Arabidopsis thaliana: one gene and its partner. The protein of the gene in region 2 purifies or fractionates together with the protein of the main gene of each other region. This does not show direct contact. Each region holds a gene or a part of one and is shown on either strand. Other genes may lie near its edges.

Evidence for each region.
Region 1: the proteins of CH1 (region 2) and OEP80 purify together in Arabidopsis thaliana (affinity purification with western blotting, with the first as the bait; one study listed by BioGRID). This does not show direct contact.

The regions. Positions count from the first base shown.
Region 1 is NC_003076.8:6,615,292-6,631,704, reverse strand, and holds OEP80 (outer envelope protein of 80 kDa), read right to left. Parts: upstream 8,509-16,413; 5' UTR 8,383-8,508; coding exon 7,675-8,382; intron 7,582-7,674; coding exon 7,488-7,581; intron 7,114-7,487; coding exon 7,031-7,113; intron 6,923-7,030; coding exon 6,825-6,922; intron 6,684-6,824; coding exon 6,614-6,683; intron 6,337-6,613; coding exon 6,243-6,336; intron 6,063-6,242; coding exon 5,981-6,062; intron 5,895-5,980; coding exon 5,859-5,894; intron 5,756-5,858; coding exon 5,602-5,755; intron 5,528-5,601; coding exon 5,387-5,527; intron 5,211-5,386; coding exon 5,140-5,210; intron 5,019-5,139; coding exon 4,940-5,018; intron 4,864-4,939; coding exon 4,748-4,863; intron 4,631-4,747; coding exon 4,483-4,630; intron 4,400-4,482; coding exon 4,330-4,399; intron 4,219-4,329; coding exon 4,064-4,218; 3' UTR 3,811-4,063; downstream 1-3,810. Other genes in the region: AT5G19633 (uncharacterized protein), read right to left, coding at 1-113, 202-271; AT5G19630 (alpha/beta-Hydrolases superfamily protein), read left to right, coding at 1,768-2,131, 3,236-3,558; GNL2 (GNOM-like 2), read left to right, coding at 9,660-10,145, 10,233-10,762, 10,848-13,959; SULTR3;5 (sulfate transporter 3;5), read left to right, coding at 14,814-15,147, 16,026-16,230, 16,345-16,413. UniProt on the Arabidopsis thaliana protein: Plays an essential role during early stages of plastid development.
Region 2 is NC_003070.9:16,842,973-16,857,904, reverse strand, and holds CH1 (Pheophorbide a oxygenase family protein with Rieske 2Fe-2S domain-containing protein), read left to right. Parts: upstream 1-6,633; 5' UTR 6,634-6,752; coding exon 6,753-6,839; intron 6,840-6,894; exon of another isoform or gene 6,895-6,967; coding exon 6,968-7,204; intron 7,205-7,472; coding exon 7,473-7,577; intron 7,578-7,655; coding exon 7,656-7,931; intron 7,932-8,013; coding exon 8,014-8,161; intron 8,162-8,236; coding exon 8,237-8,421; intron 8,422-8,509; coding exon 8,510-8,622; coding exon of another isoform or gene 8,623-8,698; coding exon 8,699-8,993; coding exon of another isoform or gene 8,994-9,076; coding exon 9,077-9,241; 3' UTR 9,242-9,597; downstream 9,598-14,932. Other genes in the region: AT1G44478 (Cyclophilin), read left to right, coding at 4,667-4,705, 4,820-4,927, 5,027-5,132, 5,236-5,564; AT1G44414 (zinc-ribbon domain protein), read right to left, coding at 9,819-10,124. UniProt on the Arabidopsis thaliana protein: Catalyzes a two-step oxygenase reaction involved in the synthesis of chlorophyll b. Acts specifically on the non-esterified chlorophyllide a and not on chlorophyll a.

The DNA of each region.
Region 1 (16,413 bases), on a different chromosome or scaffold from region 2:
GCTTTTCAGCCACTGTTCTGTAGCCTTTGCAGCAAGTGTTCTGTAACCACCAATTAATATGGACATCATTGTAACAAAATCACCACATATAGCTTGTTTTTGGGATTGTTCACCTATTAATCAAACATGAAAAGATTCACAAATCTCACCATAACAATCCATAATTCACAATCCATAATAAGCCATCCATAATGCACATACCAATAACAAAAGCAGAGCGAGCTACAAACACACTTTTATCCACGAACAAAGATTTACCAAACACATCCATCAACGTTCGATATATCAACTTGGGCTTCTCTATCAGTTTTCAAATAAATTAAACCCATAACTTCAATATTTTCAGAAAAAACATGACTAGCAAACTATAAAAGCCTAATCCACTAATTGTTCGATTTAATCGCAAGTAAATTCACGATGAACAAAGACCTCTAATCTCTGTAACATCGTAATATCTAGAATTTCACGGTGATATAAACAGAAAAAATCAGTAGAGACAATAACAAAGAAACTTATTGTTAGAGGATTCTGAGAATCGCAAGGATGATGATCATCTTCTTCCTGGGTTTGTTGTCGTGGATCTCAAACTTGGAGATTATGAAGAGATTATGAGGAGACGACAAATCGAAAGTTTATGAGGAGATTATATATGGTATAATGAAGATTGGTGATTTCTTATGGAAAGGAGAGAAAATTAATGGGAACGACCATGATTTTGTAAGAATTATAGAGAACAACAATGATTTTGAAAGAGAGAATTGAAAATGATGAAAAACAAAAGAATATGGAAGAGAGAGATGATAAAAAGAAGAAAATTTCTCACCCACACGATCTCAACAATAATGAGTTAAAATTATTGCGTAATCACTACTTTAGGGGTAAATTGGTCCAATTTTCTCTCAAAAAGATGGCAAAGTGCTCACTCTCTCATAAGTGTCTCAAAAAGAATAATATTATCAAAAAGTGCCTAAACGTGTCACAATCCCATTTTTTAATTAGTCAATATGGTGGTGACTTAATAAAATTATTATTGAACAAACAAAAAAACGCCATTCTGATCATATACAATTCAAACAAAAATAGAAAACCAAATATATTTTTGTTTTATGATAATATCAAAAAGGGTTATCTTAATAAGTATATAATTTTGAACTGCGAATATGAAATAACTAATATGCACATTTTCTTACAATATAATTTATGACATATGAAATCATCACTTCAACAGAAAAATATCAAATAAGAAATTTATATATGAGATATATTATCGAATATTTTTTTTAATTAAAATTTTTTATAATCTTTATTTTTTTCACAAGTGTCTGATATTATTAAACTGAACCAATAAACATGGGCTAAAATAAACAAAAGCCCCACAAGTATAATTTTACAAGAATTATTTAAAACCAAACATGGTCCAAAAGCACACCGTAATGAAGAGTATTAACATTGAGTAGAACTTCTAACCGTTGATTTTATTTTGTGGATAATTTTTAAAATCTTATTTTGAAATATATAAATTTATTAGCCAATTATTACTATATAAATATATTGATTTTTAAAAGTAAAGAACTTTTTTTGCAAGTATTAGTAATCTATATATATATATATATATATATATATATATATATATATATATATATATATATATATTGAGAAAATTTTGGCTTCGTGCTAGTGGAGTAGTGGTTATCAACATATTAATAACTCTGGAAGAAGTGTAAAACAAAAAAGTTCCTTACTTGTTCATTCGTCGTCTCTCCTAAAATGTCGTCAAACTTTATAGTGGAATCGTGTAGCGTTGATTCAGAAGAAGGGGTGAAGCTTCACACGAGAATCTTCAAACCCAGAAACGAAGGAGAAGAAGTCAGCGACGATGAGAATCTGGTGATAGTATTGGTCCACCCGTTCTCGCTCTTGGGTGGTTGTCAAGCTCTGCTCAAAGGCATAGCTTCTGAATTGGCCTCTAAGGGTTTCAAGTCTGTCACTTTCGATACGAGAGGTGCCGGAAAATCCACCGGAAGAGCTACTCTTACCGGCTTTGCTGAGGTCAAGGATGTGGTCGCTGTTTGTCGGTGGCTTTGTCAGAATGTTGATGCTCATAGGATCCTGCTCGTGGGTTCTTCTGCTGGTAAGGTTCTTCTATGCCATTCAAGTTTTGATTTTGTTGCTCCTTTCGTTGTTGATCTGGTTTTAGTTTGAATTTGATTGCAAGTTAAAGTCTGATGTTTTTGATCTGGTAATTGCTTCTTACAAGTTGATCTGTAACAGTTGATTTCGAATTCAGTATATGGATTCGTATACAGATTCTGGGCATTGCTTTATGTTAAAATTTGTGTTTGATCTGTTGGTTTTTAAGATAAAATGTGACCCTTTTGCTGCTTATTCACTTCTCATTAACATTACAACGGATTGGTGACACAGAATAATTGGTTTTAGGTTTATGCTTATGCTCTTTTGTTTGCTCATTTAGTTGATATTATCAGCTGAGATAACTTTGTTCCGGTTTGGTGTTGGTCATGTTAAGTTCCAGGTTTTCTCTCTCGTGTATCTCTAAGTGGTTTTAGTTGATGTAATTGACGTTCCATGTTTGAGTATAGTGATGGTCTGATAAGATGAGAATGGAGTAAGAAAGTTCAATCCACTGTGGAAAGAAGAAGATTAGCATTGTTTTAACATTGAACAGAGTCAATTTAGAGTGTCTAGGTGGTTTTGAGGTAGACTTTATCAGATGTTACAGTCTCCCAAAGGAAATTCTCGTTTGTTCTTCTTATCTACCGAGATAACTCTGTTTCTTGTTTGTGTGTCATAATTCTGTTTTGATGTCCCTTACACATATTTGCAAAACTGCAATTGATGATATATGAGTCCTTTCAGGAGTTTTTTAAAGACTATGAACGTATCAGTTCTTCTAGGATTGCTTTCAGTGCCCCCTTTTATTGGTATACTTGCATCTCTTTGCGTGTTTGTTACACATAATGTATTTTCCATAATTTCTTGCTGAGCATAGAACCAATAGCAAATAAGAAATTTGTAGATAAAATACTACAGCATCTAACACATCTCTTACCTATACTGATCATAGTGACCGACTAACTTTCTGATATGACGTGTTTAATGGATGAAGTGATCACATTACTTTTCAAATGAATATTCTGAGACAAATTTGATATCTCATGCCAACTTCTTTATATTGGTTAAAGGAAAAATAATTGAAGTTTTGACTCTTTGGCAGGTGCACCAATCGCAGGATCAGCGGTGGAGCAAGTAGAGCAAGTGGTGGGATATGTGAGTTTGGGATACCCATTTGGCCTAATGGCCTCGATTCTCTTTGGGCGACACCACAAGGCCATTCTCTCATCCCCTAAACCCAAACTCTTCGTAATGGGAACACAAGACGGGTTCACTAGCGTTAGCCAGCTAAAGAAGAAGCTGAAATCTGCAGTCGGACGCACTGAAACACACCTCATTGAAGGCGTTAGTCATTTCCAGATGGAAGGACCTGAATATGATTCTCAGGTGACCGATATTATATGTAAATTTATTTCATCCCTGTAAAATACCACATGAAAAGATAGACCTTAGGGGATTATTACATCCTCGTCGAACTACGTTGGTGTATGTCCGGAAATTACTTGGATAAATCTTTACTAGCACGATAGGAGTTTGATGTCCCTGTACACTACGCACTAAAAGACTTGTTTTCATATGTTGAGTTATTATCACTCTATCGGACATTTCTTCAAGCTTTGCAATTGCATCGAGAAGAGTTTGCTCACGATCATGTGACATCCTAAGGAGACAAATCAGGTTCATACTAGGATGAAGAATAAAAATCCTAATCTTGGTTCTATTAATAATTTTAACTGGGAGTTTGGTAAAATGAAAATCATCTACATGAAAAGCATTCATACGCGACATCTCTCTCCATGCACAAACCACTCACAAAACAGTGAGTTACATAAGATGATATAAATTATCAAAATAGACAAGCATCATCTAGATGAATGTGCGACAAAGGCCGACAAAACACTTATCGAATCTAAAAAAGAAACAGGAAAATTTAGTTCCGCAGACCAACCCCAAAGTGAAACCTTCCCGCATGTTGATCGTTGAAGGCATATTCAAGGCGTAGCGGCCCCAACGGGGAATCAACACGCACCCCTAAACCATATCCATAACCGCTTCCGGGCTTCAGTCTTGCCCCCGCAGGATCACCTAAAGGGCAGAAAATAACAAAGATGAAGGTTCCCTGAGATTCTAAAGCTATTACAAGCATATATGGAAAGGCTCAGAAGGAGAAAAAAAAAACGAAAGCCTAGTCTGTACCTGGGACGGTGGATCCTGATCCCATATCAGTGCCATAATCTGTAAAAATGACGCCTTCGACCGGTCCTCTCTGCACAATAGGGTAAGAATGAGAGTCATGATTTTTACACCATTGTGAAATGAGATCTTAGGAATGTTCAAAGAAAAACCCACCACTGGGAAAGACAGCTCCCCTGAACCAACTACATATGACCGACCAGATCCTACAGCGCCCTCTTCGTAACCTCTTACGCTGTTTGTTCCACCGATGACGAATGCTTCATGAGGTGAAAATTTTCCCACCACATGTCCACCAGACAGACTATAAACATGAACAAGGTAAGATACACTATATAAAACTTTAGAAATGATGATTCGAATCCCAAAAGGTAAATAGAGACCTCAAGAAAATTATATGCCTCAAAGGAAGTTAGCATACCTAAAAAGGAAACGAGCTGGTCCAATGTGTATGCCTTTCCTGGCACGTCCAGTCACTCGATTGAAACATAACCATTCGGGCAAAACAGGAAGCCCTTGTTCCATGTTAAACGCAAACTGGTATAAAAATACAGATAGAATTAGGCACTGAAAAAAGAAGGGGAAGATGTACCAACAGAGGTATCAGACTGACCATCGTTGATCCTTGGTCACCTGAGCCAGTATAAATGCTTTCAAGTTTTGCTAGCATGGTCTCATCATGGGGCTTACCACTGCATGAGAAAACATTAATAATGGCATCTATCAAATTCATATGGCCAAATACAGCATTGGTGAAAACAGTGAGCAGAACCAAAGACAAATCATTCTTTGGGAATTGGGACATATATATACCTTGCAGTTAGAGGGCTACTGTAGAAGTCCTTAATGATAGGGTTTCCTTGTTCATCACGAGCACCAGCATGCTGAAACATGAAATTCAAAACGAAATTAAGGGTAACGTATATATTGGTCAAAAAGTAAAAAATTTACCAGTTTGGATCTAGTCAGAAACGACAAGAACATATATTTTAATTGCTTTAACACCAATATTACTCTGGATTGGTACAGAAACTTAGAAAATATTGGGAACAGTAGAGACCTGAAATATAAGTCCAGCAGTACCATTCCACTTTGGCCTGAATGGACGACTGTATTCAACACCTGCTGTAACCCGACCAATTGTGAGACTACTATTGTCTGGTTGATTGCCGTGAACAAGATTCCCCGGTGTTCTTGAATTCTAACTCAAGATGAAGTTCATTAGTTTATTAGTCATCTCAGCAATCTCATTGAGATAACCAGTAAAGGTGTTACCTGAACCATAATAGATCTGGACGTCCTCTTGTCATCTCCTTCAATCCATGGATCAGTGTAGTTTATACGAAATATAGAGTCAATTTGACCCCTCTCTAAGGAAACATTAAGCTTCTGGTTTCTTCCAAACAGATTGCGGTGGGAATAAGCGAAGCTGCATAAAATGATTACTTCAACTACATCAGTAATGTAATACACACAGCCTAGGCCAGAAATAAAAAAAAAATCATTACAAATAAAATATACATTACTTTTACCTTCCAATTAATCCTGATAGGGGGCCACTTGTGATCCTACAAAAGAATTGGACAAAAGTTGTCATCAAGCTACAAAAGAAAAAAATTGAATCGCTGTAAGTAGCAAACAAACTAAAACTTACCCACTAGATATCCCACCACCAGCAGAGAAGCCTCCACTGGGACGCTCGACACAGTTCATGATCAAATCAACCTTCCCACTATCTAACAGGAATAAAAAACAAGGAAAAGAAGAAAGTTTCAGAATCAGACACTGTCAAAACCTTTTGTTACTGTGCCTAAGGATAAGCAAGGAAAATACTTTCTTCACTCATACTACTGCACCTTAAGCACAAGATGAAAATTAAAAGTATTAGCTGAAAAGAAAGAAATATATTTACACACCTCCTGCAGGTTGAGGAATAATACTAACATCTTCCATGATTCCCATGGCTAGCACAGTGTCTACATCCCTCTTCCCTTGAAGCATGCTGTAGACCTAAATTGACCAAAAGCCAGATTAGACAAGATGTGTATGTAGAGGCCCTACTTAGACGCTCATGCATAAAGACTTTAAGGCCAAATTTTACGAAGAAACATACATGATACCATAAAGAGTGATTAACCTTAATTAAAAATAAGATCTCCAAAGGATTTCATACACAGATGATGCACTCAGAAGTGTTATTTAGCATAAAAATACAGCTCAGATAGTTTATGATGTTTTAGTCAGCGACTTATCTTTACATCTAAGCTGAGAAATGCCCAAAAAATACCTGTCCCTTCTTTGTTGTAAGTTGCCGTAGTATTGTCTCAGGGCTAGTCTTCCCTTTAGTTGGTTCCCCACTAAATATAGAAGGCACCATTATCAATGAAATCGTAATCTAATAGTTGAAATAAAAGGAAGCTACCAGTGCCATCCAGAATTGCCTACAATTTAAACCAATATAAACTACATTCATAAGGGAGGGATTGGCACCAGCTTACGTCTTACGATCAAGGAATCGGATGGATATGTTGTTAACCTCTGCTTCAGCAACCTGAAGCCTTACTATACCTCCAGAAAGCGTATCAATATCTGAAACCTACAATGGCAGACAACAGAATGATGATTCTAACCACAAAGTATAAGACTGAATCCAGGATGATTTTTTTTTTTGAAAAAGTAATTATGGTGTAAAAAGAGCACTTACAATTCCGAAAAGACCACGCTCCATGTACCATCCATTGATGGATGTAATAGCTTCTTCCAGTCTCTTAATATTAATCACTTTCCCTACACAGCTTGACACCAACATTTACTAACCATTACCCTCTCCAATCAAACACACACCGAACAGAAGGAATCCACCTAACTAGCCTCAATACATTAATATGTGTAAACTAAATGCAACTTCAAATTATGCTCTGTTTTGGAGCATGGATACATTTTGAGAATACTACCTACCTCTAATCTATCTTCTTCATTCAAGGCTAACACATTTTACACCATGTGTTAGAAAATTCTTAGCTTCATCATTAGTACTCGAAATATTTGTCAGGTTCCAATATCATTAATCCATTTTACTCCCAACGTAAATCAATGAATTGACAGATAAGTCTAGTACAGTACAGAAGAAAAAAAAACAAGCTAAATTGGAGGATACGTACCAAACCCATCTCGGAAAGCTTCATGTATGAACTTGGAAGGAAGAACATTTGCATTTTCACAGACTAACCCACGAAATTCTTGGTTTGGTTCTACCTTATGGCAAGAAAATGAGAATTATTTGCATCCCAGAAACATAAAAACGAGACCTTTCTCCTCCAACAAAAAGAGTAACAATCAAAATATTACCTGAAACATCAACCGAATCCCGTCTCGTGTATCAACAGCAACAGGAGTACAAGAGCAAAAGTACCCACTTTCTATAATCCTATGTACATCCTCCTGTACCTCACGAATAGTCAACGCTGAATTAGCTCTACAAGCTTTCAAAGCAGCCAATGCCTCCATTTCCAAATCCTTCCTCTCAAGTTCCTCACCATCTTTCGTTCTTACTAAAACCTCACTAATCAGAACTCGTTCCTCCGCATTTCGACTCACCGAGTGACCCTTCTGCTGCTGTACTGTATCCTTCCCTTCCACTGACTGAGTCGACTCGTTAGGTCTAGTTAGAGACAAAGAGGCACAACAGAGCAGAGGCGAGCTTAGTCCACGGATTGTCTCAACGTTCTCATCTCTTGATTCAGACCAATTGAATTGGGTGGATTGGATAAGAGACAATGAAATTGGAGAAGACTTCCCAATCATAAGCTGGGTTACTGAATTGAGCATCTGAGTCGGTAAATTGGGACGACGAACCGAACGTGGAGGAGGAGTGTGGCGATTCTTTAGCGACTGGAGCATTTGGTTTAGTGAGTTACGAGTATTTGAGAGGTGAGAGACGAAGGTTTTAGAGCAGGATTGGAGATTGGTGAGTAAAGAGTGTTGTTCTTTGGGAGATGGAGAATGGATTCTGATAGAAGATGAAGAGAAGCGAACATCATCGTTGTGACAATGCATTGTTAATCGTACTCGGGAGTGAAATTGAGGAAATGTCAAGGAAGAAGAAGAGCTTAAGAGATAAAATCTAAGAACAAAAAATAAGAGCTAGGGTTTTTTTTGATTCGGAGACTCGGAGTAGAAGATGATAGAGTGAAAAGGAGGTGATGTTAAAGCCCATTTACGAACAAACAAAAAACAAATTATTTTTTTGAATGTTTTATGTAAACATTCCTTTGAGTATATTATTAGGTTTTGTAAAATTACTGGATTTTCAAAAATGAAAATAAAATTGCGTCAAATAAATATTTTGGAAAATAATCAATTTCTCATTAAGGGGATTTCTCATTTATTTGACGGTAAATTAGTTTTTTGTAGGGTAAATTAGTTAACTAACGTTCAAAACATGTTAATCAAAATAAATAAATAGATTTTTGAGAAAAAAACGTTAGTTGATTTCTCCTATCCATTTTCTTGATTTTATTGATTAATAGATCACACACATGAACAAACAAGGATTATTGAATAGTTTTTCTGTGAATTTTTTTAGTAGTTATGGTCACAAACATGTAACAAAACCAATTATATTAATTTTGTCAATTTTAGACTTGTTAATTATAGAGAGTTTTGGCTCTTCTTAAGCAAGCCATAAACCCTTAAAACATTCATCTTATTAGGACCAGTACATAAATAAGTTATGGTCTGAATTTTAGTAAAATTTAAGCTGAGAGATATATTCTCTTGGAAACACTAGGACCAGTACATAAATAGAGTTATGGTCTGAATTTGGTAAAATTTAAGCTCCATTAACCTCTTAAGCGTCAGTTTTTCTCTACTGGTTAATTGAATAGTAGAGGAAAAAAACTTCAGCTATGCAAAGTCTGACTCAGATCAGTATGAAGAGGCCTAATCCTACAAAAATGGTTTCCACTCCAATCATCGTAGAGTTTGCTTCTACTTTAAAAGAAGAAGAAAAAAAAACCTTGAACACATACGTTTGATCCAAATAATGTATCCTTAAATCTGAATTTTTGCAGAACGTACATTAGTTTTCTATCTTAAGCCTTAAAGAAATTGACGGTAGCTGATGATGGAGTTTTCCTAGATGTGTGATGACAAATGGTTGAAACTCACCCATCACTGAGTCTCAGCCACTAAAACTTATATACTAAATATAGGATCAAACCAAGGCAAGGCAACACCGTACACATAAAGAATAAAAACGAAGAACAACAAAAAAAACAGTTGCTGAATGATTTTTCTTCTTTATCGGCAAGAAGAGTGTGATAAGGTGAGAAATGGATCGTATCGCCGTAAGAGCAAAGCGGAAAGAGCTAGGGATATCATGCATGCTTAACACGGAGGTTGGTGCAGTCCTTGCCGTCATTCGTAGACCCCTTTCAGAAAGTTACCTTTCTCCCCAAGAAACAGACCACTGTGATTCATCAGTCCAACAATCTCTCAAATCTCTTAGAGCTCTTATTTTCAATCCTCAACAAGATTGGCGCACCATAGATCCTTCGGTTTATCTTTCTCCTTTCCTCGAAGTTATTCAAAGCGATGAGATTCCGGCTAGCGCCACAGCTGTCGCTCTTTCCTCCATCTTAAAGATCCTTAAAATCGAGATCTTCGATGAGAAAACACCTGGTGCAAAAGATGCTATGAATTCTATTGTCTCCGGGATTACTAGTTGTCGTTTGGAGAAAACAGATTTGGTGTCTGAAGATGCTGTAATGATGAGGATTCTTCAAGTTTTAACCGGAATCATGAAACATCCATCCTCTGTACGTTCATTAACTATAATCTTTTTACTACAAATGTTTATTTTGTCCTCTTTTAAGACAGTAATAATAAGTTATGTATTAAAACAGGAGTTATTAGAAGATCAAGCGGTTTGCACAATAGTCAATACATGTTTCCAAGTAGTGCAACAATCTACCGGTAGAGGAGATTTGCTGCAACGAAATGGAAGATACACAATGCATGAGCTGATTCAGATCATTTTCTCCAGATTACCTGATTTTGAGGTCAGAGGAGACGAAGGTGGTGAGGATTCAGAATCTGATACTGACGAAATCGACATGAGCGGCGGATATGGAATCCGATGTTGCATCGACATTTTTCATTTCTTATGTTCGTTGCTCAATGTTGTTGAAGTTGTTGAGAACTTAGAAGGGACAAACGTTCACACTGCAGACGAAGATGTGCAGATTTTTGCTTTAGTTTTAATAAATAGCGCCATTGAGTTAAGCGGTGATGCGATCGGGCAACACCCTAAGCTTCTTCGGATGGTTCAGGACGATCTATTTCACCATTTAATCCATTATGGAGCTTCTTCAAGCCCTCTTGTGCTATCAATGATCTGTAGTTGTATACTCAATATATATCACTTCCTCCGCAAGTAAGTCCTCTGTTTTTTATAACATTAAAACCTAAAACTCTGTTTATTCTCAACTTTGTCTAACAACAATGTGTTGATTTATTAGGTTCATGAGGCTACAACTCGAAGCTTTCTTCTCCTTCGTGTTGTTGAGAGTTACAGCTTTCACAGGCTTCCTTCCGTTACAAGAAGTTGCTCTTGAAGGGCTAATCAACTTTTGTCGACAACCTGCTTTCATAGTCGAAGCTTATGTAAACTACGACTGTGATCCGATGTGTAGAAATATATTTGAAGAGACCGGAAAAGTTCTATGCAGACATACATTCCCTACCTCTGGTCCTTTAACCTCTATACAAATCCAAGCCTTTGAAGGTCTTGTGATCTTGATTCACAACATCGCCGACAATATGGATAGAGAGGAAGATGAGGGTAATGAAGAAGATGATAATAACTCCAATGTGATTAAGCCAAGCCCTGTTGAGATTCATGAGTACATACCCTTTTGGATAGATAAGCCAAAAGAGGATTTTGAGACGTGGGTAGATCATATAAGAGTAAGGAAAGCTCAGAAGAGAAAGCTAGCGATCGCTGCAAATCATTTCAACAGAGATGAGAAAAAGGGTTTGGAGTATTTGAAGTATAACTACTTAGTCTCAGATCCTCTTGATCCAATGGCATTAGCTTCATTTTTCAGATTCACACCGGGTTTGGATAAGACAATGATTGGAGATTACCTTGGAGATCCTGATGAATTACATCTCAGTGTTCTTAGAAGCTTTACACATACATTTGAGTTCACTGGTATGAATCTTGATACCGCATTGAGGACATTTCTTGAGTCATTTCGGTTACCGGGAGAGTCTCAAAAGATCGAACGTATGATTGAAGCCTTCTCTGAGAGATTCTATGATCAACAATCATCTGATATTTTTGCAAGCAAAGATACTGTTCACATTTTGTGTTACTCGCTTATAATGCTCAACACGGATCAACATAACCCTCAAGTTAGGAGGAAAATGACAGAAGATGAGTTTATCCGCAACAACAGGGCAATTAACGCGGGAAATGACCTTCCAAAGGAATACCTCTCTGAGCTTTTTCAGTCCATTGCAACAAATGCATTCGCTTTATCGACACATTCCGGTCCGGTGGAAATGAATCCAAACAGATGGATTGAGCTAATGAACAGAACAAAGACTACACAACCTTTTAGTTTATGTCAGTTTGATCGTAGAATAGGAAGGGATATGTTTGCAACCATTGCAGGTCCATCAATAGCAGCAGTTTCTGCATTCTTTGAGCATTCAGATGATGATGAAGTGCTTCATGAATGTGTTGATGCTATGATCTCTATAGCAAGAGTTGCTCAGTATGGCCTTGAAGACATTCTTGATGAGCTCATTGCTTCCTTTTGTAAATTCACAACGTTGTTAAACCCTTACACTACACCTGAAGAGACTTTGTTTGCATTTAGTCACGATATGAAACCGCGAATGGCTACTCTCGCGGTTTTCACGCTCGCTAACACATTTGGTGATTCTATCAGAGGAGGGTGGAGGAACATTGTGGATTGCCTCTTGAAACTTAGGAAGCTTCAGCTTCTTCCACAGTCTGTTATTGAGTTTGAGATAAATGAAGAAAATGGCGGATCAGAATCCGACATGAACAATGTTTCGAGCCAGGACACAAAATTTAACCGACGACAAGGTTCTAGTCTAATGGGTCGGTTTTCACACTTCTTGGCATTAGACAACGTGGAAGAATCTGTAGCTCTTGGAATGAGTGAGTTTGAACAAAACCTTAAAGTCATAAAACAATGCAGGATCGGTCAAATATTCAGCAAAAGCTCAGTGTTGCCGGATGTTGCGGTGTTGAATCTTGGTCGGTCTTTAATCTATGCAGCTGCTGGGAAAGGACAGAAGTTTAGTACAGCTATCGAAGAAGAAGAGACGGTTAAGTTTTGTTGGGATTTGATCATAACCATTGCATTATCTAACGTCCACCGGTTCAACATGTTTTGGCCAAGTTACCATGAATATCTACTCAACGTTGCAAACTTTCCGCTCTTTTCACCCATTCCGTTTGTCGAAAAAGGGCTCCCGGGTTTATTTAGGGTATGCATCAAGATTCTTGCTTCTAACCTTCAAGACCATCTACCAGAGGAGTTGATTTTTAGGTCCTTGACAATAATGTGGAAGATAGACAAAGAAATCATTGAAACATGTTATGACACAATAACAGAGTTTGTCAGCAAGATCATTATAGACTACTCTGCGAATCTGCATACCAATATAGGGTGGAAAAGTGTTTTACAACTACTTTCTTTATGTGGAAGACATCCAGAGACCAAAGAGCAAGCGGTGGATGCTCTCATCGGTTTAATGTCATTTAACGCATCGCATCTATCGCAGTCAAGCTACGCTTATTGCATCGATTGCGCCTTCAGTTTTGTTGCTTTAAGAAATAGCTCTGTTGAGAAGAACTTGAAAATATTGGATCTCATGGCAGATTCAGTGACAATGTTGGTAAAATGGTACAAAACTGCCTCTACTGATACCGCGAATAGCTATAGCCCGGCAAGCAACACAAGCAGTTCATCATCCATGGAAGAAAACAACTTGAGAGGGGTTAACTTTGTTCATCATCTTTTCCTCAAACTCTCCGAGGCTTTTCGAAAAACGACCCTTGCACGCCGAGAAGAGATAAGGAACAGAGCAGTGACGTCTCTAGAGAAAAGTTTCACCATGGGTCATGAAGATCTTGGATTCACACCTTCTGGTTGTATATACTGCATAGACCATGTCATATTCCCAACAATCGATGACTTGCATGAGAAGCTTCTCGACTATTCAAGGCGCGAAAACGCGGAAAGAGAGATGAGAAGCATGGAGGGGACGTTGAAGATAGCTATGAAAGTGCTCATGAACGTTTTCTTGGTTTACTTGGAACAAATTGTAGAAAGTGCTGAGTTTAGAACTTTTTGGTTAGGAGTGTTGAGGAGAATGGATACGTGTATGAAGGCGGATTTGGGAGAGTATGGAGATAACAAACTTCAAGAGGTTGTCCCTGAACTTTTGACCACCATGATTGGTACCATGAAGGAGAAAGAGATTTTGGTGCAGAAGGAAGACGATGACCTTTGGGAGATTACGTATATTCAGATTCAATGGATTGCTCCAGCGCTCAAGGATGAGTTATTTCCCGATGAAGAGATTTAGACTTTTATTATTGTACTATGTAATTCATGATTTAATGCTCAAATTATATGATCAACTTCAAGAAGTCATGAGATTTTGGATATATATAGCTTCTACTAATTCCATAGAGCAATCATCAATTTTATGGCAAATAATCCATATTAAATATATATACCCTTATAAGTCTCATTCAATTACCACATACCACATTAGTCTCCATTTTTTTAGACAACACATTAACTCCATAGAAGAGTGATTTGAAGCAATGCAATGTGATAAGATAAGATTAGCTAATTTCGTAAATGGTAACAAATTTTGGATGTGATGTGGTGACTCTATATTCTTTGAATGGAAGAAAATAATTGGATCCTTTGGAACAAAATATTAAAGTATTTTGACTATTTATGTAATTGTGAAGCACACCAAAAAATATGATTCATATATATAACAATTTTTCTATCTATTGTCCTTCGTAATTTGATTAATTACTGAAACACAACTTTTCAATAAAAATCAACACTGTCAAGAAAAGGAGAAGAAAAAAAAAATCGACAGTGAAAATGAACCTAGTAAGATACATGGATATTAATTACATACCGAATCAACTGCAGTAAAGATAAGATTAGCAGATTTTATAACCAAAAAAAGACAAAGACCACACAAGCCTAATTAAAACATGGGTCAACGTGGAATAATTCTGTAACAGTATTCTCCACTTTCCTTGGCCATCCTTCTATATAAACGACCATACTCTCTAATAGTCTAATTTGTTCTCTACAACGAACTTTAAAGTAACAAAGTACACAGAAAGGTTTTTACTTCTTCCTTGCTTGTTGTGTGTATTCTCATTCACATACAATTGTTTTTTTGTAACTATGGAGAATACTATAACGAGCTCTACCTCCTCACCGAAGGGCCGGGGAGTAAATTTCTCGACCCCGAGAGGCTTTGGTTCAAAATTTAAGTCAAAATGTAAAGAAACCTTCTTTCCCGATGATCCATTCAAACCGATATCGCAAGAGCCAAACCGTTTGCTAAAAACAAAGAAGTTATTGGAGTATTTTGTGCCAATCTTTGAGTGGCTCCCAAAGTATGATATGCAAAAACTAAAGTATGATGTGCTCGCCGGAATCACCATCACCAGTCTTGCTGTTCCTCAGGGCATCAGCTATGCTAAGCTCGCCAGTATCCCTCCCATCATAGGCCTATGTGAGATCTCTTCCTCTTGTTTTTCTTGTTCTTTAATTATGCATCATCCATCAACAATCATCACGAAATATAATCTTACAAAATGATAAAATCATATTTCTTAAAGTGATTTCGGAGAAAGGTGTAATTTCGATTTTGCAATACAACAAAAAACTTATTTCTGTTTTCATATTAATTAAATATGAATTTACGTTTTCCAAATATGGTTTTACTCTGTATATGTATGTATAGTCTACCGTTTAGCCATGCAGCTCATGCTACTATGTTACCTACCACTTTATCTCCATATTAATGAAAACGTTTCTATATTGTAAAATTAATACTGATTCTGAATATACAGTATGAATCCACTTGAGTTTGATTTTTCAAAAGTGTCTTCTTTTTAAAGATTAATATACAAGATGATTTTCTTATTGTTTTTAACAAAATTATTACTTCTTACATAAAGTATTTCTGAAATTTTTCATATATATATATATATATATATATATATATATATATATATATTTAAAAATTGAAATCTAAATGCTCCATATCTAGACAAGTTTTCCATGTTTTTCTTGTGTAACTAAAATAGTAGAGGAACCTAAAATAGAAATGATATTGGCAGAGTGCTTTATTGTCTACACAAACTGACAGTAGGTGTTGCCCAACTGTACTAGTCTCAATTTATTTCTCTTTCTATTTTGTTCATATAAAAAAATAACAAGTAAACTCCTCTATATAAGTTTAATTATTTGTATTTTTCAAATATATAAGGCTGTAAAATTATTCCAAATTTAATTTTAATATTGAACATATTACTAATAATTCCATTGATGTTAAAAAAAACAAAACTAATAATACCATTTTTTGTTAAAAACTTTATGGAAATTCAGATTCAAGTTTTGTGCCGCCTTTTGTGTATGCCGTGTTCGGAAGTTCGAACAATCTGGCAGTGGGAACAGTCGCAGCATGCTCTTTGCTGATCGCTGAGACATTCGGTGAGGAGATGATAAAAAATGAGCCTGAACTCTACCTTCATTTGATCTTCACCGCCACTCTCATCACCGGTCTATTCCAATTTGCTATGGGATTCTTGAGGTTTTTCTACATACAATCTCTATCCTTACGTTAAAAAATTTAACTTTTAAGTTATTTAAAGAAACAACAAAAATAATAGGTCTTTAACAAAAAAACAAAAAACAAAAATAATAGGTTGGGGATATTGGTGGATTTCTTGTCACACTCGACCATAACGGGCTTCATGGGCGGTACCGCAATCAT
Region 2 (14,932 bases):
TCAGAGCTTCGATATCCTAAAACCTACTTTTCTTTTCTTTTTCTTCTTTTCAAAACCTAGCCGCCAATCATGTCTCAAGTCAACGGCCTCCCCGCCACTAGAGACGAAGCTATCGTTCTCACCCCTCAGACACTCTTTAACGTCAATACGTCGAATGTCACTAAGCTCACATCGACCAACTATTTGATGTGGAGTATTCAGATCCATGCCTTGCTTGATGGTTATGATCTAGCAGGTTATCTTGATAACTCTGTTGTCATCCCACCAGAAACAACCACCATCAACAGTGTTGTCTCTGCCAATCCGTCGTTTACTCTCTGGAAACGACAAGACAAGTTGATCTTCAGTGCTTTGATCGGAGCCATCTCTCCTGCCGTGCAATCTTTGGTGTCACGAGCCACTAACTCGTCTCAGATCTGGTCCACTCTCAACAACACCTATGCCAAGCCAAGTTACGGCCACATCAAGCAGCTCCGGCAACAAATCCAGCGTCTCACGAAGGGAACCAAAACCATTGACGAATATGTGCAAAGTCACACCACTCGCTTGGATCAGCTAGCTATCCTTGGGAAACCTATGGAGCATGAAGAACAAGTGGAACACATCCTCAAGGGTCTTCCTGAAGAATACAAAACTGTTGTTGATCAAATTGAAGGAAAGGATAACACACCGACTATCACCGAGATTCATGAACGACTCATTAATCATGAATCCAAGTTACTCTCTGATGAGGTACCTCCTTCATCCTCTTTTCCTATGTCAGCCAATGCAGTTCAGCAACGTAACTTCAACAACAACTGCAATCAAAACCAGCACAAGAACCGCTACCAAGGCAACACACACAACAACAACACCAACACCAACTCGCAGCCGTCAACATACAACAAGTCCGGGCAACGTACTTTCAAGCCTTACTTAGGCAAATGTCAGATTTGCAGTGTTCAAGGCCATAGTGCACGCCGGTGTCCTCAACTTCAAGCAATGCAACTTCCAGCAAGCTCCTCAGCCCACTCGCCATTCACTCCTTGGCAGCCCAGAGCCAACCTAGCTATCGGGTCTCCTTATGCAGCTAATCCATGGCTTCTTGACAGTGGCGCAACACACCATATCACCTCCGACTTGAACGCACTCTCTCTTCATCAGCCCTACAATGGTGGTGAATACGTTATGATTGCCGATGGTACAGGTCTCACAATTAAGCAAACTGGTTCCACCTTCTTGCCTTCTCAAAATCGTGACTTAGCTTTACATAAAGTGTTATATGTACCCGATATACGGAAAAACCTAATTTCAGTATATCGCCTATGTAATACTAATCAAGTCTCGGTGGAATTCTTTCCTGCTTCGTTTCAGGTGAAGGACCTCAACACGGGGACCCTATTGCTCCAAGGGAGAACTAAAGATGACCTCTATGAGTGGCCAGTGACTAATCCTCCAGCGACGGCTCTGTTCACAAGTCCTAGTCCAAAGACCACTCTCTCTTCATGGCATTCACGTTTAGGCCATCCATCTGCCTCCATTTTAAACACTTTACTATCTAAATTTTCTCTTCCAGTTTCTGTTGCTTCTTCAAATAAAACTTCTTGTTCTGATTGCCTTATTAATAAAAGTCATAAACTCCCTTTTGCAACCTCTTCAATACACTCTTCTTCACCACTTGAATACATTTTCACTGATGTCTGGACTTCTCCTATAATCTCTCATGATAACTATAAGTATTATCTAGTGCTTGTTGATCACTACACTCGATATACTTGGCTTTATCCTCTGCAGCAAAAATCTCAAGTCAAAGCAACGTTCATTGCCTTTAAAGCTCTTGTGGAGAACCGTTTTCAAGCCAAGATACGTACACTCTATTCGGACAATGGCGGAGAGTTCATCGCACTTCGAGATTTCTTGGTGTCCAATGGAATCTCTCATCTAACGTCTCCTCCGCATACGCCTGAACACAATGGCCTCTCCGAACGTAAACACCGCCACATTGTCGAGACGGGACTTACACTACTTACTCAAGCCTCAGTTCCAAGAGAATACTGGACCTATGCGTTTGCCACAGCGGTTTACTTAATCAACAGAATGCCCACACCGGTCCTCTGTCTTCAGTCTCCATTTCAAAAATTGTTTGGCTCGTCACCAAACTATCAGCGTCTTCGTGTGTTTGGTTGTCTCTGCTTTCCATGGCTAAGACCCTATACACGTAACAAACTTGAAGAACGGTCTAAGAGATGTGTGTTTCTCGGCTACTCTCTCACACAAACGGCGTATCTTTGTCTTGATGTTGACAACAACCGGCTTTATACCTCTAGGCATGTCATGTTTGATGAATCAACATATCCTTTTGCTGCATCAATCCGTGAACAGAGCCAGTCTTCTCTTGTCACTCCACCTGAGTCATCCTCCTCGTCTTCTCCTGCAAATTCCGGGTTTCCGTGTTCGGTTCTTCGCCTCCAATCACCACCCGCGAGTTCGCCGGAAACGCCGTCTCCTCCGCAGCAACAGAACGATTCGCCGGTGTCTCCTCGTCAAACCGGTAGTCCGACGCCGTCACATCACTCTCAGGTACGCGATTCAACTCTATCTCCTTCTCCCTCTGTTTCTAATTCTGAGCCCACTGCTCCACATGAAAATGGGCCTGAACCTGAGGCCCAGTCCAACCCAAACTCACCATTCATAGGCCCACTGCCCAATCCAAACCCTGAAACCAACCCATCTTCTTCGATAGAACAACGACCGGTTGATAAATCAACTACCACTGCCTTGCCACCAAATCAAACTACCATTGCTGCCACCTCTAATTCACGATCTCAACCACCAAAAAATAATCACCAAATGAAAACACGATCCAAAAACAACATCACAAAACCAAAAACCAAAACCAGTCTCACCGTTGCTCTCACCCAACCACATCTCTCCGAACCAAATACTGTGACTCAAGCTCTAAAGGATAAGAAATGGCGTTTTGCAATGTCCGATGAATTTGATGCACAACAACGCAACCACACTTGGGATTTAGTTCCTCCAAATCCAACGCAACACCTTGTTGGATGTCGATGGGTTTTTAAACTCAAGTATCTACCCAATGGACTCATTGACAAGTATAAAGCGCGATTAGTTGCTAAGGGTTTCAATCAGCAGTATGGTGTGGATTACGCGGAGACGTTCAGTCCGGTTATTAAAGCGACAACAATCCGAGTTGTTCTTGATGTTGCGGTCAAGAAAAATTGGCCCCTAAAGCAGCTAGATGTAAACAACGCCTTTCTCCAAGGTACTCTAACCGAAGAAGTGTACATGGCTCAACCGCCGGGCTTTGTAGACAAAGATCGTCCTTCGCATGTGTGTCGTCTTCGTAAAGCAATCTACGGACTCAAACAAGCGCCACGTGCATGGTATATGGAGCTGAAGCAACATCTTCTGAACATTGGTTTCGTCAATTCTCTAGCTGACACATCATTGTTCATCTACTCGCATGGTACTACATTACTCTACTTGCTTGTATATGTTGATGACATTATTGTCACAGGGAGCGACCATAAGTCAGTTTCTGCGGTTCTGTCATCTCTTGCGGAGCGGTTCTCGATTAAAGATCCCACCGATCTTCATTATTTCCTTGGCATAGAAGCTACAAGAACGAACACTGGCCTTCACTTGATGCAACGGAAGTATATGACCGATCTTCTTGCAAAACACAACATGCTCGACGCTAAACCGGTTGCGACTCCTCTTCCGACCTCCCCAAAGCTGACTCTTCATGGAGGTACTAAGCTTAACGATGCGTCTGAATATCGATCTGTTGTAGGCAGCTTGCAATATTTAGCTTTCACACGTCCAGACATTGCCTTCGCGGTCAACCGTCTATCTCAATTTATGCATCAGCCTACATCCGATCATTGGCAAGCAGCAAAACGAGTTCTACGCTACCTTGCGGGAACCACCACACATGGTATCTTCCTCAATTCATCGTCTCCAATACATCTTCATGCTTTCTCCGATGCAGATTGGGCCGGTGACTCTGCTGACTATGTCTCGACCAATGCGTATGTCATCTATTTAGGGAGAAACCCCATCTCGTGGTCCTCTAAGAAGCAGCGTGGTGTCTCGCGTTCATCTACGGAGTCGGAGTATCGAGCGGTGGCCAACGCTGCCTCTGAAATCCGATGGCTTTGCTCTCTCCTCACAGAATTACACATTCGATTACCACACGGTCCAACCATTTTTTGTGACAACATTGGAGCCACCTACATATGTGCCAATCCAGTCTTTCACTCACGCATGAAACACATAGCTCTGGATTATCACTTTGTTCGCGGCATGATTCAATCACGAGCTCTCCGAGTCTCACACGTTTCCACAAATGATCAACTCGCTGATGCACTCACCAAGTCTCTCTCTCGTCCACATTTCCTTTCAGCCCGTTCCAAGATTGGAGTTCGTCAACTCCCTCCATCTTGAGGGAGCGTATAGAGTATATTACACATGAAGTCTTAAAGGACATAATTGTAATTAGTTAATCCCTAATCATAGGGCTGTGCCTTAGTATATATATGTACATTCCTACTCTAATAATATTCAATACATTAAGCATTTACATTAGAATCGTCTCGTCTTTTGGTTTAGGTAGAACATGTCAGCAGCCTTGGGATATAGTTATTGATCTTTACACGGACAAATGTCCTTTGACCTGCAAGAGCTTCCTCAAGCTCTGAAAGTAAGTGTCTTTCTTATTCAGGAAACATCTCTCACTATATATATGATTCCATGAGGTTTGGTTTGTAACTGATCACTCAAAATTTTGTTAGGTCAATTAGTCAATTACTATAAGGGGTGTGTCTTTCAAAATGTGCAAAAGGGTTTCATAGCACAGACAGGTGATCCAACCGGCACAGGAACTAGTGGAGATTCAATATACAGATTCCTTCACGGTGATCATGTTCTTTTTTTAAGCGATGAGAACCATCCCGTCTTAAAACATTCAATGTATATATACATGTGTTGTTTGGAGCTTTAACAAGTTGTTGTTCTTACGCAGATGGACGGTACTTTTATTGATGATAGAAAAATACATGTAGGTTTTAATCAGAGTTCTTTCAAAATTTGGCGTCAGGTCTGGAGGAAAGACTCTCAACATGGTAAAGGTAAAAGCCCATTTTCCTATATAGACCAAACAAATCATGATTCATGAAATCCTTTCTTTGCCAAAACATGGAAAGTTAACAAAATGTTTTACAAGGTCGGGAGATCATGTTGCCAAAAGTCCCGAGAAGAGAGAGCTTCGTCGTCATGGCAGTGAGAAGATTCATAGGAGAAGTTCTCATGGTTATGGTGAAGGCAGAAAACGACACGGAGATGAACGTTATACTGAAGACAAGGCAGGCAAGTACGATGGTAGAAGACAAGAGTTCAGAGAACTGGAGAGGGTTTTCAATGATAAGTTGAGTAAGGAGAAGAAACTACAAAGAGAAGAGAAAGAGATCGTAAGGATGATGAACACAGAAGAAAAATATGCCGCCAAGAAACGAGAGTGGGGATTACATCATGTCCCGGCTCATGAGATAGGGCAGACGTAGAAACGAAATAACTTTTAGATTTAGTCGAACATGTATAGTATATAAAATACATAAATTTTAACTTTAGAATGTGTATTTTTAACTTCGTAAATCAAATTTTAACGATCCAAAACGGCAACAAAAATGACATATTCTTGACATTACATGAGTCTTCATGTCTTCTTCATCATTTTTTTCACGAGTTGCTTGATTTTTTTTTTTGAAAAATTTGATTAAATAGATAAAATGTTAGTTTAGAGATAAGTGACATATTACTCTAGAATGCATATATGGACTTTAAACAAACCTCCTTTATCTCCAACTTTTCCAAAAATAAATTATGGTTAAAATATTTTTATTAGTGTGTTTCTCACTATTAAAATAATAATGGTATAATCATTTTTTTTTTCAATTACCATAGATCATGTTTCTTGTACTTGCTTTAGATCCCATGATTCTCAACACGACTGAGAAAACCATCTTAGCACGAGATAATAACCAAAAAGTCTAAAATCCAATTTATCTCAAATTTGAGTTTACATAGTAAATTAGTATAATATATTTTTAGTTTAGTATAAGGTTTTCACATATTAAATGAATCAACCAAAACATAATACAATAATTTAACAAAGATATCCTAAATAATGTAAGATTCAAAATGTAACTTAATACTCTGTTTGGTCAACAACTTCAAATTATCTCAAATGCCAATCCCAAAAATATTGTTTTTGGACAATGAAACTCAATTTAGTTTGAATAAATTTGGGTATTTTAACTACTATCTCTCTAAAATAGATGTTTCCTCATTTTTCTACACTTAATCACTCTTTTAAATCTATCTTTTCTTTATACAATAAATACCATAGCACAAATAACATATACATTATTTTCACATTAAACAAACAAAAAAAACTAGTGATGGACAACCAAACCAGGAAAATGACAAAACATTACAAGAAAACTCACAAAAGCAAAGCTAATCTTAGAAAATCCTACCTGGCAAATCCCTCTTCATCATCATGTGGATATTAATACCGCCACGTGTTCAATTCTCTCTACACGTGTCATCTTCCCGAAGGCATTCTCAGATCGCGGGCAAAATCCTTTTCTTATCAACAAAAAAAATCTCAATAAAATAAAAAGATAAAATCTCAAACTTTCTTCTAAAATTCGTTTTCCATTTTTCTTCACTCTCTTTCCGGTGACGCCATGAACGCCGCCGTGTTTAGTCCTTCTGCTTTATCTCTCCCTATCTCCTTCTCTAAAACCCGATCCTCTTTTCTCTCCAGAAAGAAGGTAACTTTTTACTCTTCTTCTCCACTTTTGGCTTCAAACTCTGTAATCAGTGTCAAAGTTACGTTTTTGCGATATGGGTTTAGTAAAAGTTTAGATTTTTAAGTGATTGAGTGATTGTTTGGTTACAGGGCGTGAAAGGAGAATTTAGGGTATTTGCTGTGTTTGGTGATGAGAGTGGATTAGTTGAGAAGAAGAGTCAATGGAGACCTTTGTTTGATGTGGAGGATCCTAGATCAAAAGCTCCTCCTTATAAAGGAAAGTTTTTAGATGTTAATCAAGCTATTGAAGTTGCTAGGTTTGATATTCAATACTTGGATTGGCGTGCTCGTCAAGATCTTCTTACCATTATGATTCTTCATGACAAGGTTTGTTTCTACATTGATCTCTTTTGAACTTGTTTATGTCTAGTTAGTTGGTAAAGTTGTGTTTTATCGAGTTGTAGTTAAGGACATAGCTATAATATGCTACATTTAGTTCTAGGGTATATATAGTAGACGTATAGCTATGACTCTAGTAGCTCAAGTTCTTCAAATGTTGTTTTTGTAGCACTCTTTATAGTATTGACATTTGACAACCATTAATGGTTTATGTTTAGTGTTTTGATGCTAAGTTTGTGGAATGAATGTATGTTAGGTTGTTGATGTACTTAATCCTCTAGCTCGTGAGTACAAGTCCATCGGTACAGTGAAGAAAGAACTAGCTGGATTGCAGGAAGAATTATCGAAAGCACACCAACAGGTTTTTAACAATGCTATTCACTGAGAATGATTAGTTTTTTTATGAGACTTCCTCTAACTCTTAGTTGAAATGAAACAGGTTCATATATCTGAAGCAAGGGTTTCGACTGCTTTAGACAAGTTAGCCCACATGGAAGAATTGGTTAATGATAGGTTGTTACCTGGCAGAGTTGTAACGGAATTAGATAAACCCTCCTCTTCAACCACTGCTTCTGCTGTCGAGTTAGATAGGGAAAAGACAAACACGGGTGCGAAAAGCTTGAATGTTTCTGGTCCGGTTCCGCCTTATAGTCCACACTTGAAGAATTTTTGGTATCCCGTTGCTTTCACTGCAGATCTCAAGCATGATACAATGGTATGTATAGTGGTTCTTGCTTGATTTAAGCGTCTTCCATTAGTTACAAGCTTCTGAGAAATGCTATTGTTTATTTCTTAAGGTACCAATTGAATGCTTTGAACAACCATGGGTTATCTTTAGGGGTGAAGACGGGAAACCAGGATGTGTACGGAATACATGTGCGCATAGAGCATGTCCTCTTGATCTTGGCACAGTGAACGAGGGACGTATTCAATGTCCGTACCATGGTTAGTAACTCTTTCTTTAGTCTACAATGTTGATAACAAGTGAGAAACCATATCTTATTAAATGTGATTTTGTAGGATGGGAATACTCAACCGATGGAGAATGTAAGAAGATGCCGTCTACAAAGTTACTGAAGGTGAAGATCAAATCATTACCTTGTCTTGAACAAGAAGGTATGATCTGGATTTGGCCCGGTGATGAGCCACCTGCACCTATACTTCCTTCTTTACAGCCTCCATCAGGGTTTTTAATTCATGCTGAGGTAATTCTTACATTTCAAGTATATCTCCAATCCAATCATCTCATATGTATGCCGCATTTTCTCATTTGTTCTCTTATATAACTCTCAGCTTGTAATGGACCTCCCGGTGGAACACGGTTTACTTCTAGATAATCTCTTGGATCTTGCTCATGCCCCATTCACTCATACATCCACTTTTGCAAAAGGCTGGAGTGTCCCAAGGTTTCTTTTAACTCTCATTACTCTGTTCAGTGCTAAGATGAAACTTGGTTTAAGCTTTCTGTTTTTGGTACTGCAGTTTGGTGAAGTTTTTAACACCTACCTCGGGTCTCCAAGGATACTGGGATCCATATCCAATCGATATGGAATTTAAACCACCGTGTATTGTTTTATCGACAATCGGGATATCAAAACCCGGGAAACTAGAAGGCAAAAGCACACAGCAGTGTGCAACACATCTTCATCAACTCCATGTCTGTTTACCTTCTTCTAAAAACAAGACAAGACTTCTATACCGAATGTCACTAGACTTTGCTCCTATATTAAAGAATCTTCCATTCATGGAACATCTGTGGAGACATTTCGCTGAACAGGTAAAAGTACATCACAAATGGATCGATCATCTTCAACCATCGTCACAGTCTTGTTTCTTAAGTTACCGTTTCTATATTTCCAGGTCTTAAACGAAGATCTACGGCTAGTTTTAGGACAACAAGAACGGATGTTAAACGGAGCAAACATATGGAATTTACCAGTTGCTTATGACAAGCTCGGAGTTCGGTATAGACTATGGAGGAACGCAGTAGATCGTGGCGATGATAAACTACCTTTCTCCGGCTAACTGTTATTAAAGAAATCTAATGGAAGTTTTTGCAGCTCCTTATTCACCAGCAACCTCAGACAAGTGTAGGTTATTAATCTGGTTTATTCTCACCGAAGAAAGAGCTTTGCCGAGTAAAAGATCTGGAGTTTGTGGATTCATCTAAAAAACCGATGAAACAAAGAACTTTTGCGTAGATAAAAGGACAACATCCACTGTAAATCCAAAGGAGATATATTGTTATTCATTTTTCCCTGTGTACAGTTCACTCTCTATGAGAAATTGAATATCAGTTTTCCCCACTAAACTAATGTCTTCTAAGAACCAATCGAAAGTTTCTTCAGCAAAAAGAAAGCTAATATTTTCTTAGCATTGGTGGTAAAATTTGGCAATTTTTACCGGACAATTTAACCATACTATATTACCATCCAAGTACATGACTAAATTTCACATTCTGTATATGAATGATTTGGGTTTAGGACAGAACACTGAACACAACTTATAGACTTAGTAAACTGTAAACCAAAACATGTATTAAAAAGTTACTACAGACATATAATCAGAGAGATAAGATCAACTTTTTTGGACAGACCAAGACTCACAGAGAAGAGCCACAAAAAGGGCAAAAACGGAACTCAGGCTCAACAACACGATCACAGAATCGACACGTAGCTAAAGAAACTGGAGGCGGTGACAGAGACTGAGGGAAGAACAGATCACAGTCTCTACAATGAAGTAGAGGATCTTTTCCAGGCCATCTCCAGACAGGAACGAAGAAGAGCTTTATGACTTTGTCGTACTCGACCAAATCGGCTTGAGAACCGCATCTTATGCATGTTCCGGCGCCGGATTTTAGGACTTGTCTCACTTGTTGCCCTAATCCACCGACGAAGAAGAAGAACATTTTTTTTCGTTTTATTCTCCTCGTAACCTTCGTAAGAGTTCAATAAAAGTATCTGTTTAAGATTTCGTATTAAGGACATCAAATAAATATAGTAATAGAGTTTTTAATGTAAATGTGATGCCTTTGTTCTTGTTCTAGTTGTTTCTAGTCGAATGTAAGAACGAAAGTTTTTATTTTGCATTTGTTATTGTTCTAGTGGTTTCTAACTTTCTAGTAGAAAATGACCAAAAAAACAAGATAATAGAATTTTTTACATAGGACATTAAAACAAAATCTTTTAACCGTAGGTATATAATTTTTTTCTTTTTAAAACATCTTATATTTTGAAACTAGGATATATAAATATATATATATATATTTATGTTATTGAATGTTATAAAATAACGATTTAAAAACAAAACTGAAAGTTTTTATATTGAATTTTAAGAAGTCAAAACTAAATTTTGTAAATGCGCTAAAAACTTGCAGTAACATCCGAGCGAATCTCACAAACAAGAAAGAGACGGGCTAAGGTCCTCAACTTACATAATCTGCGCCAAATCCAGCTTCCTGAGGTCGAGGGATTGAGTTCCTAGAAATTCTTATTCCTTATGAGGTTGATTCTTACCCACGACACCCAGAGCGAGCCCGCAGTTGTGAAAAGTATCCAGATAAGCTTTAGAGCCAGCACCTTATTCCAAGCCACTAAGTCACGCAAACCAAGATCGCCACAGACTTTGGAGGTACAGACAATTTCCCAGGATATTTTTGCACCTCTGCCTGAATTAGGGGCTCCTTCCCAAAGAAAGGCATTACACATTTGCTCCAGTTTTCGTAAACACTGATTGGGTAAGAGGAAGATGGAGGTCTAAAAATTAATAGTAGAGAAGATGACAGACTTGAGAAGCTGCAGTCTTCCCGCAAAAGAAAGGTGCCGAGAAGTCCATGAACTATTCACTTTGTCGATGAGGGGTTGAAAATCCTGCCTCCTCATTCTGAGACATGAAGGCATGCTTCGTGTTCATTATACATACCACACATCCATAAAACAGACCAAAACGACATCGTATATCCCTGCCCAAATGCCACGTCAATGCCACAAATCGTTTGATTCATCAACCGTTAATCGCAAATTATCACCGTATATTCTTATGTTGAAATCGTCTAATTTTCTTTAAGTTCAGGTAGATTATTTGAATAATTCTTAGGTTTAGGTTTGAAATAAATCAAAGGTTTGAGTTCAGGTTGGAAAAACCCGCCAACAAAAAGTTTGAGTTGATAAAAGCCGTTTTCCCATCACATGTACTCTACTGATTTATGCTAGTGTTGTATTGTGTTACTATTTGGGTGTAACATGTTAGTATACTGCAAACATGTTAAATTGTAAATGAAGTATACTGCAAACACCTATGTGTTCTTAAATCTTAAGTAACATGTTAGTGAAGGGCTTTAGGTTCGGAAACCCGAAATTTGGTAAATTGGCAACAAAACAAGAATGGTAGTATGAGCAGCCTAAAGTCAAATCTGTTTGAAAGATAGTTTTCTGATGTGGTGAAACCAAAAGTGGAGCTTACGGTCCTCTATTTTGTTGCCTTATATCTAAATACTTAATTAGGGCTTATGGGTAAAATTGTTGTTAACAGAAAGTGAAGCGACAACAGGTATATGGTCCAAGGTAAGCTCACTAACCAAAAGTGAAGTTTGGGAACAAAAACAAATATAAATCAAAATATAAAGTAGAGAAAACCAATGATCTCAACATTCGAGAAACAAAGGGTGGATACTAACCAAAGGCACTCATGAAAGAACGAAGAAATCGTGGATACCAAGCAAAGCCATTACTTGGGTCTCATCAGCTGCAGTTCAAATTCCTCTCCTTAAAAGCATCTTTTGTGTACCGATTCATGTTCCAACAAAACCGTTCTAGCCAAAACCATGTTCAGCTTCACCACTATTGTGAAATACATTTCCTTCCTTATAGAAAATCCATTCAGGGAACAACAACTGAAACCATGAGATTGCATCTAAACGTAAGCTCACTCCTGTAACTTAGACACCTCATGGCCTCATATGTCTGAAATGGTACAGACATAATATAACATTTTAAACCCCAAATTTTCCATACCGAGCTATTGAAAATTCAGGGAGTTCGAATTCTTTTCTTTAAACAATGACAAGAAAAGACTAGCATTCTTCTACTCAGAACAAAAGTCTTATTAAGTACTAGGAATACGATCTTTGGTTAGGTGAAGTCTAATAATAAATTAAGAACTGAAGAGAATCATTAGTGAAGCAACTCTACAACAAATCCACTGATCATGTCAGTAAAATATAATAATTATTCGTCCAATTGATAGCCTAATCATATCAAAACAAATATCAATAATTCCATGCAAGTTTTCCAATGAATACACCATTTCTACATCTATATATATATATATATATATATATATATATATATATATATATTTTTGACTATTTTCTATAGAAAAATGTTTAAAACTTTTTTTTTGTAATTTTTAATGCAAATTTGTAACCAGAAAATAATCATATATTTTTTAGTGTGAGACATTTTCAATCTTATTTTTATTTTTTCCAAATTTTTTCTTTAAATGGATTCCTTAAATATTAGGACACGGAACTGGCCCTTGACAATCGCACTGTTAGCCATCCCTCCTCAACTGGTCCTGCGGAAATGACCGTGTAAAAAAAGGAGGTTTCAACGTTAAGATATTTTGCTTTTAAAGGAATTGTGTCTTCGGGTTTCCACTACAAACATAACATAACGGTTTTGGTTATTTCCAACTTTTTGCATCACTCATATGGAATATTATGAAGACAAAATACGATCCATTTGTAGTTCATTCAAGCTTTGTCAAGTTAATGCAGTTTATCTATCTAACTGCAATCCATAATTTTGAGGGTGACAATTTTTGGTCACACTTGCTTTAACTCTTAATTTTGATGGCCTTGAAATTGACGTGAAGTGTTTTTGGTCTTTGTATGTTTCTTTTTTATCGATTCAAAAAGTGTTTAGAGTTTTCAAGTCTTTTGTCAAAGTTTTACAGGGTTTAGGTTGCTTCGGACTTTGAACAAAAACAAAAAAAAAACGTTGCTTTGGACGTGTAAAGGGTGCTCTAGGCCTATGTGTTCCATGTTTGGTTTCGACTAAAACGCTTGATTTCTTGGGTAAATTATATACAGTAGCCATTGACCATGTTTTTATTTCAGGATTTGGCAAAGTAAAATGGGTCTTCCACCATTTAACCATTCAGCCAAATTCAGACGAAAATACCCCTGAACCATCAAATGGCGTCCAGTACGCACAGATCAGTTAGTTAGGATCGAACGGACGTACAGTCTATAGTTAGTTTATTAAAAATTAAAAATAATCATTTTTCATTTTTACTAGTTTTTACAGTTTTTTTTCATTTTTATTTTGTAAATATTTATTATTTTTGTACTTTTTGTTCAAATTCATTTTTTTATATCATTTAAGACCCACTTTCATATTTTCATTTTTATTAATTTATTTATTAATTTTTACATTAAAGATAATTAAAAATTAACAATATCATGTATACATTTGTACGTACACGTAATTTGTATCTATATATGTACATAAACATCGAAATAATTTGTATATTTACGTTTCAAATATTTTTTGAATATAAAAACAAAACATTAAATCCATGTACTAATTACACCTGAAAAATAGATTAAAACTTAAGAATCAAACGAACATATTCGAAAAATAAGAACTAAACCCAGAACTAACAAATTATTCGAAAGGTATTAAATTTCTATACATGAATAACCTGACATATAGTTGAAAACCCAAAATTTTATCCAAAGCAAACTGAGAACCGAATGTGTATCCAAAATATAGTTATATACTTAACATAAATTATATTTAGACTTTTGTATTCTAATTATCCAAATTCCAATTATAAAATCGAAGTTAACGTACACTAGTACATTTATCAAAGAATATGTACGTAAACTACTAACTATGTATCTGGTGAATTATGTAAAGATGAATGTTTTACGTACACGAATACATATAGGCATGGTAGATGTGAAATGAATTGTAATGGTGTGCAATTTACTATTGGAATATCGGTTTTACCTGAAAGAGAGTACGATTCTTTGAAATATTATATATGCATAATCTATATTAAAATATACAGGCATAAATATAACTTACATAATAACTTAATTTGGATGTCAAAAAAATAAAAATAAAATTTCTTCGTAGACAATGGTTAGAGAATTTTTAAACTCATTTTAATGTTATACCATGTACGTTCCAATAAATATTTTTGTGTACGTACATAGTATTAGATTTATGTGATTTAGACATTTTTATGATGTAACTGTTTGGAGCGGTCGTACACGTGTACGTGTATCTCAATATTATTGTGTACGTTTAGGGGTTTAGTTTAAAAACTTATTTATTCTCACAACTTTAATTCACCAACAAAGATATACGTACATTATTATACATGTACATACATAAAAAAATTCAAAAGTATGAGGAACAACTATACTTTGACCATATATTTTTATTTAATTATTATATATGAATAGATTTATGGAGAAAATCCCAAAAAATATCTCATCGAATCAAAATAACCAAAGTGTACAAACTCAATAAATATTGTGTATGCCGCATTTACAATAAAACAAAATCTAACATGTTTATTTCTATTTTAAATAATATTTTATTTATTATCATCCGAAGACAATTTACGATTAGCAATATCATATAAACATATGTGCGTAACGGTAATAATATATACATACACGGTAGTAATGTGTATGTACAC